Linked DNA regions of Nothobranchius furzeri. The protein of the gene in region 1 interacts with the protein of each later gene in a pairwise test. Links are inferred from orthologs where the notes say so. Each region holds a gene or a part of one and is shown on either strand. Other genes may lie near its edges.

Region 1 (4,563 bases):
AGAGAGGGAAGTGGAGAGAGAGATGGCCACCCCCTTCGCCGTCTGAGACACCAGCCACCAGGCTCGCTGCAACAGGCTGCAAACACACACGAACATTGACCCATCAGTCAGTACAGTGTTGCCCTGATCAAGAAGGCTCCTCCGGTTGGTTCTGATCCACTTTCTGGTCTCCACGCTGGAGTTTAGGAAGCGGTCGGGTTTACAGTTTTTCTCGATTCCTCACATTCTCCAAACAGTAAACACACATCCATAACATCTCACCCAACTTCCCAAACATCACATTTTCAGGTCAAAATGAAGCTCTACACTCAAAACCTTTCACTCTTGGTGAAAAACCAGACTTGGCCTACAGACATCACACACAAGGCCTCAAAAACACACACATTACAACATAGTAGTACACATTGTAGCTGTTGCTCTTCCACACAAACATTTCTACATGATGAACACGTGGTGCTCATGTAAGGTTTGTAAGTGGTTACTTTTAATAACTTATCTATAGAATATAAAGGTATTCAATACAATGTAATATTCCATTAAAGTATGGTTTATCAATATTAACCCATTCACTGCCAGCTGTTTCCTGATCACTAACGGCCTTCGCTGCCAGCGTTTCTCACCGTTTTTACTGTTTTTTTAAGAGTCACAGAACGTTGCGCGCTAGCATGATGTCGACGCCAAAACAACCAAAACAAAGAGGAGACTCACCTCTTACATCAGGAAGAAGCCGCGTGTTTCGAGCGTTATCCGTTCTTTCATAATCCGTTGTTGAATTGTGATCGGCAGACGCTTTTCCGGTTCGCGCCTCACTTTTTTTACAGAAACGGCCCAAAACGATCTCCTAACACATGGATGTGATGCTTCCTGAGCATGTGATCTGTGACGTATGCGGATGAAGATCGGCTTCAGGGCTGAGATGTTTGTTCTCTGAGCGCGGGGGCTCGTTGCGATGCTCAAACAGTAAAAAAATGCAAATGACGACTTTAGTCGTCAATGGCAGTGAATGAGTTAATGAACCTTTGATGTTCGATTGATGATTGTAGGTACTTTGGGTATAACATAACATAATGCCACATACACACACACACACACACACACATGTGGCTGAGACCGCGATGCTTTTATAACCTACAGCCACAGAGATGTGACAGGCTCAGCCTCGCCTCAAGGCTGCTGTGGCTACATCGTAGCTCATCACCATCAGTGTGTGAATGTGTGTGTGAATGAGTAAATGATACACTGTAGTGTAAATCACTTTGGAGTCCTTCCTCTGAGAGGCGCTTTACAAGTGCGGGTCATTTATCATTAATTTATCATTTACATGGGACCTTTCACCCATTGGTCAGACGGAGTTCAAACTGCTGTTGTCAATTAGTGTAGAATAATTTAGAGCTGAAGAGGGCGCTGGACTTAAGGTTTTAGGCTGAATTTTAAGTTTTTAAAGAAAATGCACCAAAAATAACAACTAGACATGTCTACAACACTACAATACACTTATTTATACAAGTTATCAGCAAAAAACCAGATTTTGGTGTGACTTTCTCTTTAATGAACTTAACTGTATTGGAATGTTTACGGTGCGAAGTCATAATCAAGAGTAAAGTACCTCTTATCTGCTGTGGGGCCGATGCTGCTCATTTTCTGCTCCATGACTCGAATATCCTGAGCACTGAGGCGAGCCAGCCGGACGTTGGCAAACCACATCAGGGGGCTGTGAGTCCTGGTGACCCCAAACACAAACAGCAGCTGCTGGCAGAAGATCCAGGCCTGCCAGGCTGAGCTGACATATGGGTAAGCTGCCACTGCTGCTCGATACAGCCGCTCTTTCCGGGTCTGAGCCAACCTGATGGAGAAGTCCTCCTCATCCCTCTGCCGTGCCAGCCTCACCTCCAGCTTGGCCCGTAGGTACGGAGCCAGGCACAGAAGAAGAAGAGAAAGCCAGCGGGACCTCCTGAGCAGACCTAGGTGAGCTGGAGGTGCCTGCTGGCCTGAAACCCTCTTCAGACCATAGAAGTTCTCCGAAAAGGAGGCGCTGCAGTGACGCAGGAAGTGGTTCTGGAGGATCAGGTCCAGCAGCAGGTACAGTTCATCAAAGCTTCTCCACAGGAAGCCAAAGTGAGACGGGTTGGATTCAGCCAGAACCTGCAGGGCCACAGACCTCTATGATGTTCAGAAAACATTTGTGCTTGTGCAGCAGAGCTGAGTGCAGCACACCTACCCTGACGGCATGCCTCAGCGCTGGTTTCACTGCCTCCATCAGTGACTCCTGGGCCAGAACTTCAAAAATGGAGGGCTGCTCACCGACAGCGGCCGAGGTGAGATGGGCTCCAGCCTCCGCCATGGCTGCTGCTACAGAACCGGGTCCTAAAATCCAAACCACTCTGAACTCAAACTCACCTTTATTCACAACAGGTCAACACAAAGTGCTGCTGTTCTGTAACATTTATATAAATTATCATGTCCGTTATGTTTGCTAGCACGAGTAAAGGTGGAATAAAGCGCTCTTCTGTAGAACCGGTGCTTATGATCACGGGAGTGTTTTAATGTGTGACTGCACACTTCCGGCGACACTCACAGGTGAACTCTCCTGGGTTCTCTCCCACCTGCAGCGGCACCACGGGCATGGACATCTAGACAGTACCCCTTCCGAACCGTCACCGTGCTAGTGGTTCCGGTCCATTGCGCGTTCAGACCTACTACAGAAACACATTTTTACAGGATTCTAAATAATTTAATGCTTTCTGTTTTTCAGCGGTGGACAAACTCACGTCCGGCTGTCTTCTCCGGCTGTTGGCAAGAAGCTAACAGCGCCGCGAATCCACGACAGAAGCGCTAAAGCTGCGTGAGACCTTGCAGCAAACGTCTGAAAGATTGTTCTGTCGCCGCTCACTCCTGTAAATTATTTACGTTATTAACCATTAAAGTCCATTCCAGCTGCTTCCGGAACCGGAACTTCTTCTACAGCTGCAGCGGAGCTTACCGCCACCTACTGGATGTGCGGGGAAGTGTCTCATTTAGGTTTCCTTTTTTCCAATTGTCCTCCAGCTCCATTAAACACGAGTGTTGGCAGCCATCAAGCGCATCTGCTGTCATTCTCCCGAGCTTCACCATTTAGTTTAACCCCTAGAATGCCAAGCCCTTTTAAAACAGACACAGGAATAAATATAATATACTTTATTAATCCTGCAGTGGTGGCGTTTACTCGTTTCAGCAGCACATACACATGGAGAAAAGGAAGCAGAAAAATAATATGATTACAGATAAGCACACAAAGGCTATTATTGTAAACTTAAAACACTAAAAACAACAAATAATAAAGGAAACTTGGGTTTCCAGAAATAAATGATAAATGACCCGCATTTGTATAGCGCCTTTCTGAGTCAGAGGACTCCAAAGCACTCTACATTACAGTGTATCATTTACCCATTCATTCACACACAGGTGGTGATGAGCCAATCAGAGAGCTGGGAGGGGGTGAGGCACTTTCCCGCCTTCTGACGATCAATAAAATGTAAGTTAAGTAGAGATAGGTCAGAAAGATCAGATACAGCAGTCTGTTATTGGCTCAATATTCGGCTTTTTATATTCACTCCAGTGAGACTTGATTAGAGTGATCCTTAGTTCCTTCTGTTGCCATGGTAAAAAATGTCAGTTATGTTGGTAGTTTTAAGTGTAGAGAGCTCAGAAAACCCAAAAACAGCAGTAGGTTATCGGCTCAGAATTAGACTTTCTACATTATTTCCAAGAGACTTGTTTGTGGTGATCCTTGGATACATGCGTTGCCATGGTAATCTATTTCTCAGAATCTGGTTAATTATAAGGTACAAATAAACCATGCACCCACACATATTCGATTGTCAATGGACATCAGTGTATAAAAGCGCAATCCTGTCCTGATGTTTGAATAGATTGTAACTAGGAAAATGGAGGCTCCAGCCCCTTCCGCCCAAGACTACATTAATGTGCACATCATAATTTACAATTAAACAGCATTAGCCCCGCTCAGTTGGCTTCATTAAGAATAAATAAATATATGATGCAATTTATACATCAATAAAAAATCATTTTGGTCAATAATATGTCTTAAAGAACCGCATTGACCTGAATATAGGACGAGGTTTTTTCATTGAAAATAATTTTAAATGTGGGGTCGTCTTATAATCGGGGTCTAAGCTTTCACACATGCCGATATTTATCTGGGGTCGTTACACGACCAAAACAGCAGAGGGCGCCAGGCTGTATGTTCTCAACCGGAGAAGAAAATGGAGACGGGAGGTCTGCAGCAGAGTGGATTGAAAGTGGGGCAAGTGAACAAGCTACCAAGGCAGAGATATGATGCTAATTTTAAGATGACGGTGGTCAATTCAGCAGAGGCATCAAACATTGCATGCATAGATGTATTGGATGGCAGTGAGGATGATGTTCAGTGGGAAGAGCCGGCAGGTGTAGCAATCTGATGGTATGGGACCTTAGCAGCATGAGAGTGAGTGAGTACAGCAAGGCAGAATAAAAGCCTCATTTGGCTCCTCTGAATAATCAGAGGTGGAGGACTCAAACTTACCT
Region 2 (4,341 bases), on another chromosome or scaffold:
AGCACCAGAGCCACGTGACTTCAGAGCTAGCTCCGAGGAAAGGCCTCAGCCTCTAAAGGTTGGTTTATGCTTGACGCGTCCGCAAGGTCTGCACGGCTCCGCGTGGAAAAGTTGCATCATTTTGCGTCATTTTAACAACCACGCCCCTCCACCGCGCCTCCGCACGGCCCAGAATTTCCGCGACGCGCACCTCGGAAAATTTCTAACCACGCGGACGGTCGGACGCGGAAAAACATGGCGGACCGGCAAGAACTAGTATGGCAGAGGTTGGTAAATACAGACATTTGTATGATTCAGCTCTCAGAGATCACCGTGATCAACATGTTGTTAATAATTCTTGGAGAGAAATAGCTCGCACTGTCGGAAAAGACGAGAACGCTGTTAAAAATGCTGAAATGCCATGTTGTAACCAGTAATTTTTACTTCTACTATGGTGTAGTGTTGGATGCATGCCGTAGAGCTCCATGCTGCCCCCTACAGTTTGGGAGAATATTGGCTCACCGCAGAGACGAGTCGCACGAACCATAAACGCTGCGAGTTGTGAAGCGCGTTCCATCCGCGAGCCGCATCACCAAGCGGAAAGTGAATGCGTCAAGCATAAACCAAGCTTAATAGATGTCCAGCCATTTCGACTCTCTGAACTTTAGTTGTGTGTGTGTGTGTGTGTGTGTGTGTGTGTGTGTGTGTGTGTGTGTGTGTGTGTTGATCATGGGATTAGTTGGACAAACAGGTCAAGCTGTGGTTACTGACGGCACCAACAGACCATCCAAGCAGATTCTGCTCCTTTTTTATCAGCAAGTAAAATTATATTTATGTACTTTATTTAGTTGGTTGAATGGGGGAAATGCTGTCATTTAACTGCTTGGTCAAACATGTTAGTGGGGCTATGTCCATATTTTTATATGTCGATGTGAAAAACACACAATATGGCAAAGGAAGTTCATATACATATGTGTATGAATAAAAATACATTAAAATTATGTTGCAGGCTTGTTTCTTCAAGCCACGGATGGTATATCAAAACATAATCATAGTAATGATGCACCTGTATGAAATGTTTGGGGCTGATACCGATATCAGATATTAATACCACTGTTATGGCCGATAACCGATATATTGTGCATCCCTAAATCATAATAAATTATTACTCATCATTATGTTGCTGCAGCTGTAATAAAATAAATGAATATTGATCTATTATTATTATTATTATACTGACACGTCAATGATTAGTACATAGAAACTCCTGCTACACACTTTGTCCAGCAGGAGGCGCTGGTCCATCTTTAGGTTTTTCAAACCACTAAAGTAAAAACACAGACGAAGTCAAAGAAACCGGAACCGAAATAGTTACTGTTGTTTTTGTTTCTCTGTTGGATTTTGACTCGTTTCTTCTGTTTTTGTTTTGCTTTTTGAGTCTGAAAATGTAAACCGGTTGGTTCTGGAACGAACCGGAAGCCCATCCCGGTGTGAACCCACCGGCTGCAGGTGGAGGTGAACGGATCGGAACCGCTGAGCATCATCCCGTCTGCGGATTGAGGTTCGGTTGGTCACAATGCCTCTCAGTCCGGCTAACCAGGCCCAGCTGATCCGGTCCAGTCAGAAGGATGAATATTACCGAACCGTGCTGAGGAACAAGTCCAACGAAGCGTTTCAGACTCTCGCAGGTTCGTGTGGCCGGTTAGCTTGTGCTGATGCTAAAGTTCCGTAAACTGGATGGTTGGGTCGGTTTTCAGAGTTTTTACTTCAAAAACAGCTGAAGTTTCTTCAACCTCGTTCCCGGAAACCAACAAAAACAGTTTTATTCAGTCTGAAGCCTGAATTTGTGTTTATAAAGGACAAAAACTCAGCTTCGTGCAGTTCGAACTCAGCCGTTCCTGTCGGAGCAGATAAGGTCCGAATGATCTGGAATCAAGATTCGGTTCAAATATAAAGTCAGTTTTGTTCTTTTTAAGATTAAAAAATGATGAAACACTTTAGATCCGTCCATCACCAACAAAACCAGAGGCTGGTGTCGACCCGCTCCAGAGGACTCCGTCTGGGATGGACCAGAACCAAACTGGATCAGATGGATCTGCATTCCAGATCCATTCCAGGAGGTGTCGTTTTCCTTGGACCAAAGTGGAGAGGATGATCCAGATGGTGTTGGCGCCAAGTCCAAAAGTAGATCCTGAGATGGTTCGGACTTGGTCCATGTTCTGTGGTGGCAGGATTATCTAGTCAGAGAGAGAAAAGGGTTCTGGTTCCGGACGGGCCTGCCTGCTGATGTCCTGACCCATCTCCAATAAAGAAAATTAGGTAAAACCCAAACTGAAGAGGATGACCCGGTTCTGTTTTGTCTGCAGAGAGAATGGGACAAACGACAAAGCCTCATCACACCCGGACCAGAACCGGTTCTGTAGCCGCTGGAAGCCCAGAACCAGGCGGATGTTAAACGTTTTTGTTTCCTTCGTTTTTAAAGATTTGTTCATCATTCAGGAGTTCTTCTAGCACGACCTGTGATCAGTAAAAACGCTCATTGGGTCAGGTTGTTAGTAACAGACGAGGTGTCTTTTCAGAATAAAAGCCTGTAACTGTTGCTTTTACCTTCAGGATCTAAGCGATGGCTGGACTGGAGGAGGGAGCTGGAGCTGCTATCTGACATCGTTTACTTTGGTCTAACAACCCTCTCAGGTGGTTTGCTGACATCCAGAACTTGACCTTGATCCAAAGAATCAAACTTCTTCATGTGAGCATCTCCATTGTCTGCAGGTTATCAGACTCTGGGTGAGGAGTACGTTCACATCATCCAGGTGGAGCCGACCAGACGCCGGATCCCGTCCCGGACCAGACGAGGTCTCTTCGTCCTCCTCCACACCTTCCTCCCCTACCTCCTCGACAAAGTCCTGGTGTGCCTGGAGAATGAGCTGGGAGGCGAGCAGGAGCACCGCAGGGCCATCGGCCGGCATCATGCGGCATCCGGGGGGTGGAGCCTGGAGGGGTGGCTCAGGAGGGGGGTGCAGAAGGCGGTGGGCATGCTGACTGAGCCTCAGAAGAGGGCGTGGCAGCCGGCGGTGTTTGTGATCCAGCAGAGCGTGGGCCTGCTGCACCGCCTCCATGTAGCGCTCTTCTACATCAGCAGCTCGTTTTATCAGCTGTCAAAGCGGGCGGCCGGGATCCGATATGTGAGTCAAGGGCAGGAAGTTCCCCACCAAAATAAAACTCAGGAAAAAGATTTTTTTTATTGATTCTTTCTGATTATACTCAAGTCACTGAGTTTTCATGCAGGCTGAACATGGAAATAGTCTCCTACACCTATCTCCTGCATTAGCTATCAGGAAGTAAGACTCCAAATTTACTTATTGTAAGTTAGAAGGACCCTCTCGAAAAGGAGACGGTTCATCTAATGTGGTTTTATCCTAAAACACAAGTCAGTAATAAATCCTGCCGTCTGAAGCTCAACTCAGATGTGGCTCACTTCTAGTTCCTGAAACAGGCGCCAGAGCTTTGTTTCTAGCTCCTGCTGTAGACCAGTGCAGGTGTATGATAGATACAAGTAAAGTTGGTCTTTAATGTCAAATCCTAATTTAAGTTTATTTTATGAATTAATACAAAATAAGATGTTTTCATTCTATAACGTTAGATTTGTGTGTGTGTGTGTGTGTGTGTGTGTGTGTGTGTGTGTGTGTGTGTGTGTGTGTGTGTGTGTGTGTGTGTGTGTAGCTGCGTGTGATGGGGCCGGGTGGCACAGACGCCTCCATCCGGAGCAGCTACAGACTGCTGGGTACCGTCTCCCTCCTCCAGCTGCTCGTCTCCGTCTGCCTGCAGCTCCAGAACTTCAGGCGGAGGCAGAGAGCTCGACAGGAGTGGAAGCTCCACAGGAAGCTCAGGTACAGAACCGAACCCGGACCTTCTCTGATTACAGCGCAGAGCTCGATGTTCTGATGTGAAAGTGCTGATTTGTGTTTTCAGCCCTCAGCGCACACCGAGCTCCAACCCACGAGCTGCTCGCTGCATCTTGTGCCTGGAGGCGAGGAGGAACTCTACCTCCACCCCCTGTGGACATCTCTTCTGCTGGGAATGCATCACAGAGTGGTGCAACACCAAGGTCCGGCTTCCATCTGCAGGTTTTCACTCTCAGATCTGATCAGAAGCTTCTGCAGCTACTGTCAGATTCTTCTCACACCTGACTGATTTCAGAAGAATTCTAGAAGTTTCTCCTCCCTAGATAGAAACCAGGACCCTCCTGCTGGGTTCCTCTGTGTTCACTTCACACATTCACCTTGCTCCTTTTCATCCATCCATCCTCTCAGCAGGACAGCTGAGTTTTCATTTGAATTATTTAAATTAAACACTTCCTGC

Evidence for each region.
Region 2: the proteins of pex12 (region 1) and pex10 interact in a two-hybrid assay, tested with the Homo sapiens proteins (4 studies listed by BioGRID, with this or other methods). The link is inferred for Nothobranchius furzeri from reciprocal best matches to the Homo sapiens genes PEX12 and PEX10.

What each region holds. Positions count from the first base shown.
Region 1 is NC_091758.1:14,500,507-14,505,069, forward strand, and holds the start of pex12 (peroxisome assembly protein 12), read right to left. Parts: upstream 2,940-4,563; 5' UTR 2,769-2,939; intron 2,697-2,768; exon of another isoform or gene 2,694-2,696; 5' UTR 2,576-2,693; intron 2,365-2,575; 5' UTR 2,342-2,364; coding exon 2,219-2,341; intron 2,143-2,218; coding exon 1,607-2,142; intron 77-1,606; coding exon 1-76. UniProt on the Homo sapiens protein: Component of a retrotranslocation channel required for peroxisome organization by mediating export of the PEX5 receptor from peroxisomes to the cytosol, thereby promoting PEX5 recycling.
Region 2 is NC_091755.1:45,336,672-45,341,012, forward strand, and holds the start of pex10 (peroxisome biogenesis factor 10), read left to right. Parts: upstream 1-1,314; 5' UTR 1,315-1,555; coding exon 1,556-1,667; intron 1,668-2,592; coding exon 2,593-2,673; intron 2,674-2,751; coding exon 2,752-3,164; intron 3,165-3,702; coding exon 3,703-3,869; intron 3,870-3,951; coding exon 3,952-4,087; intron 4,088-4,341.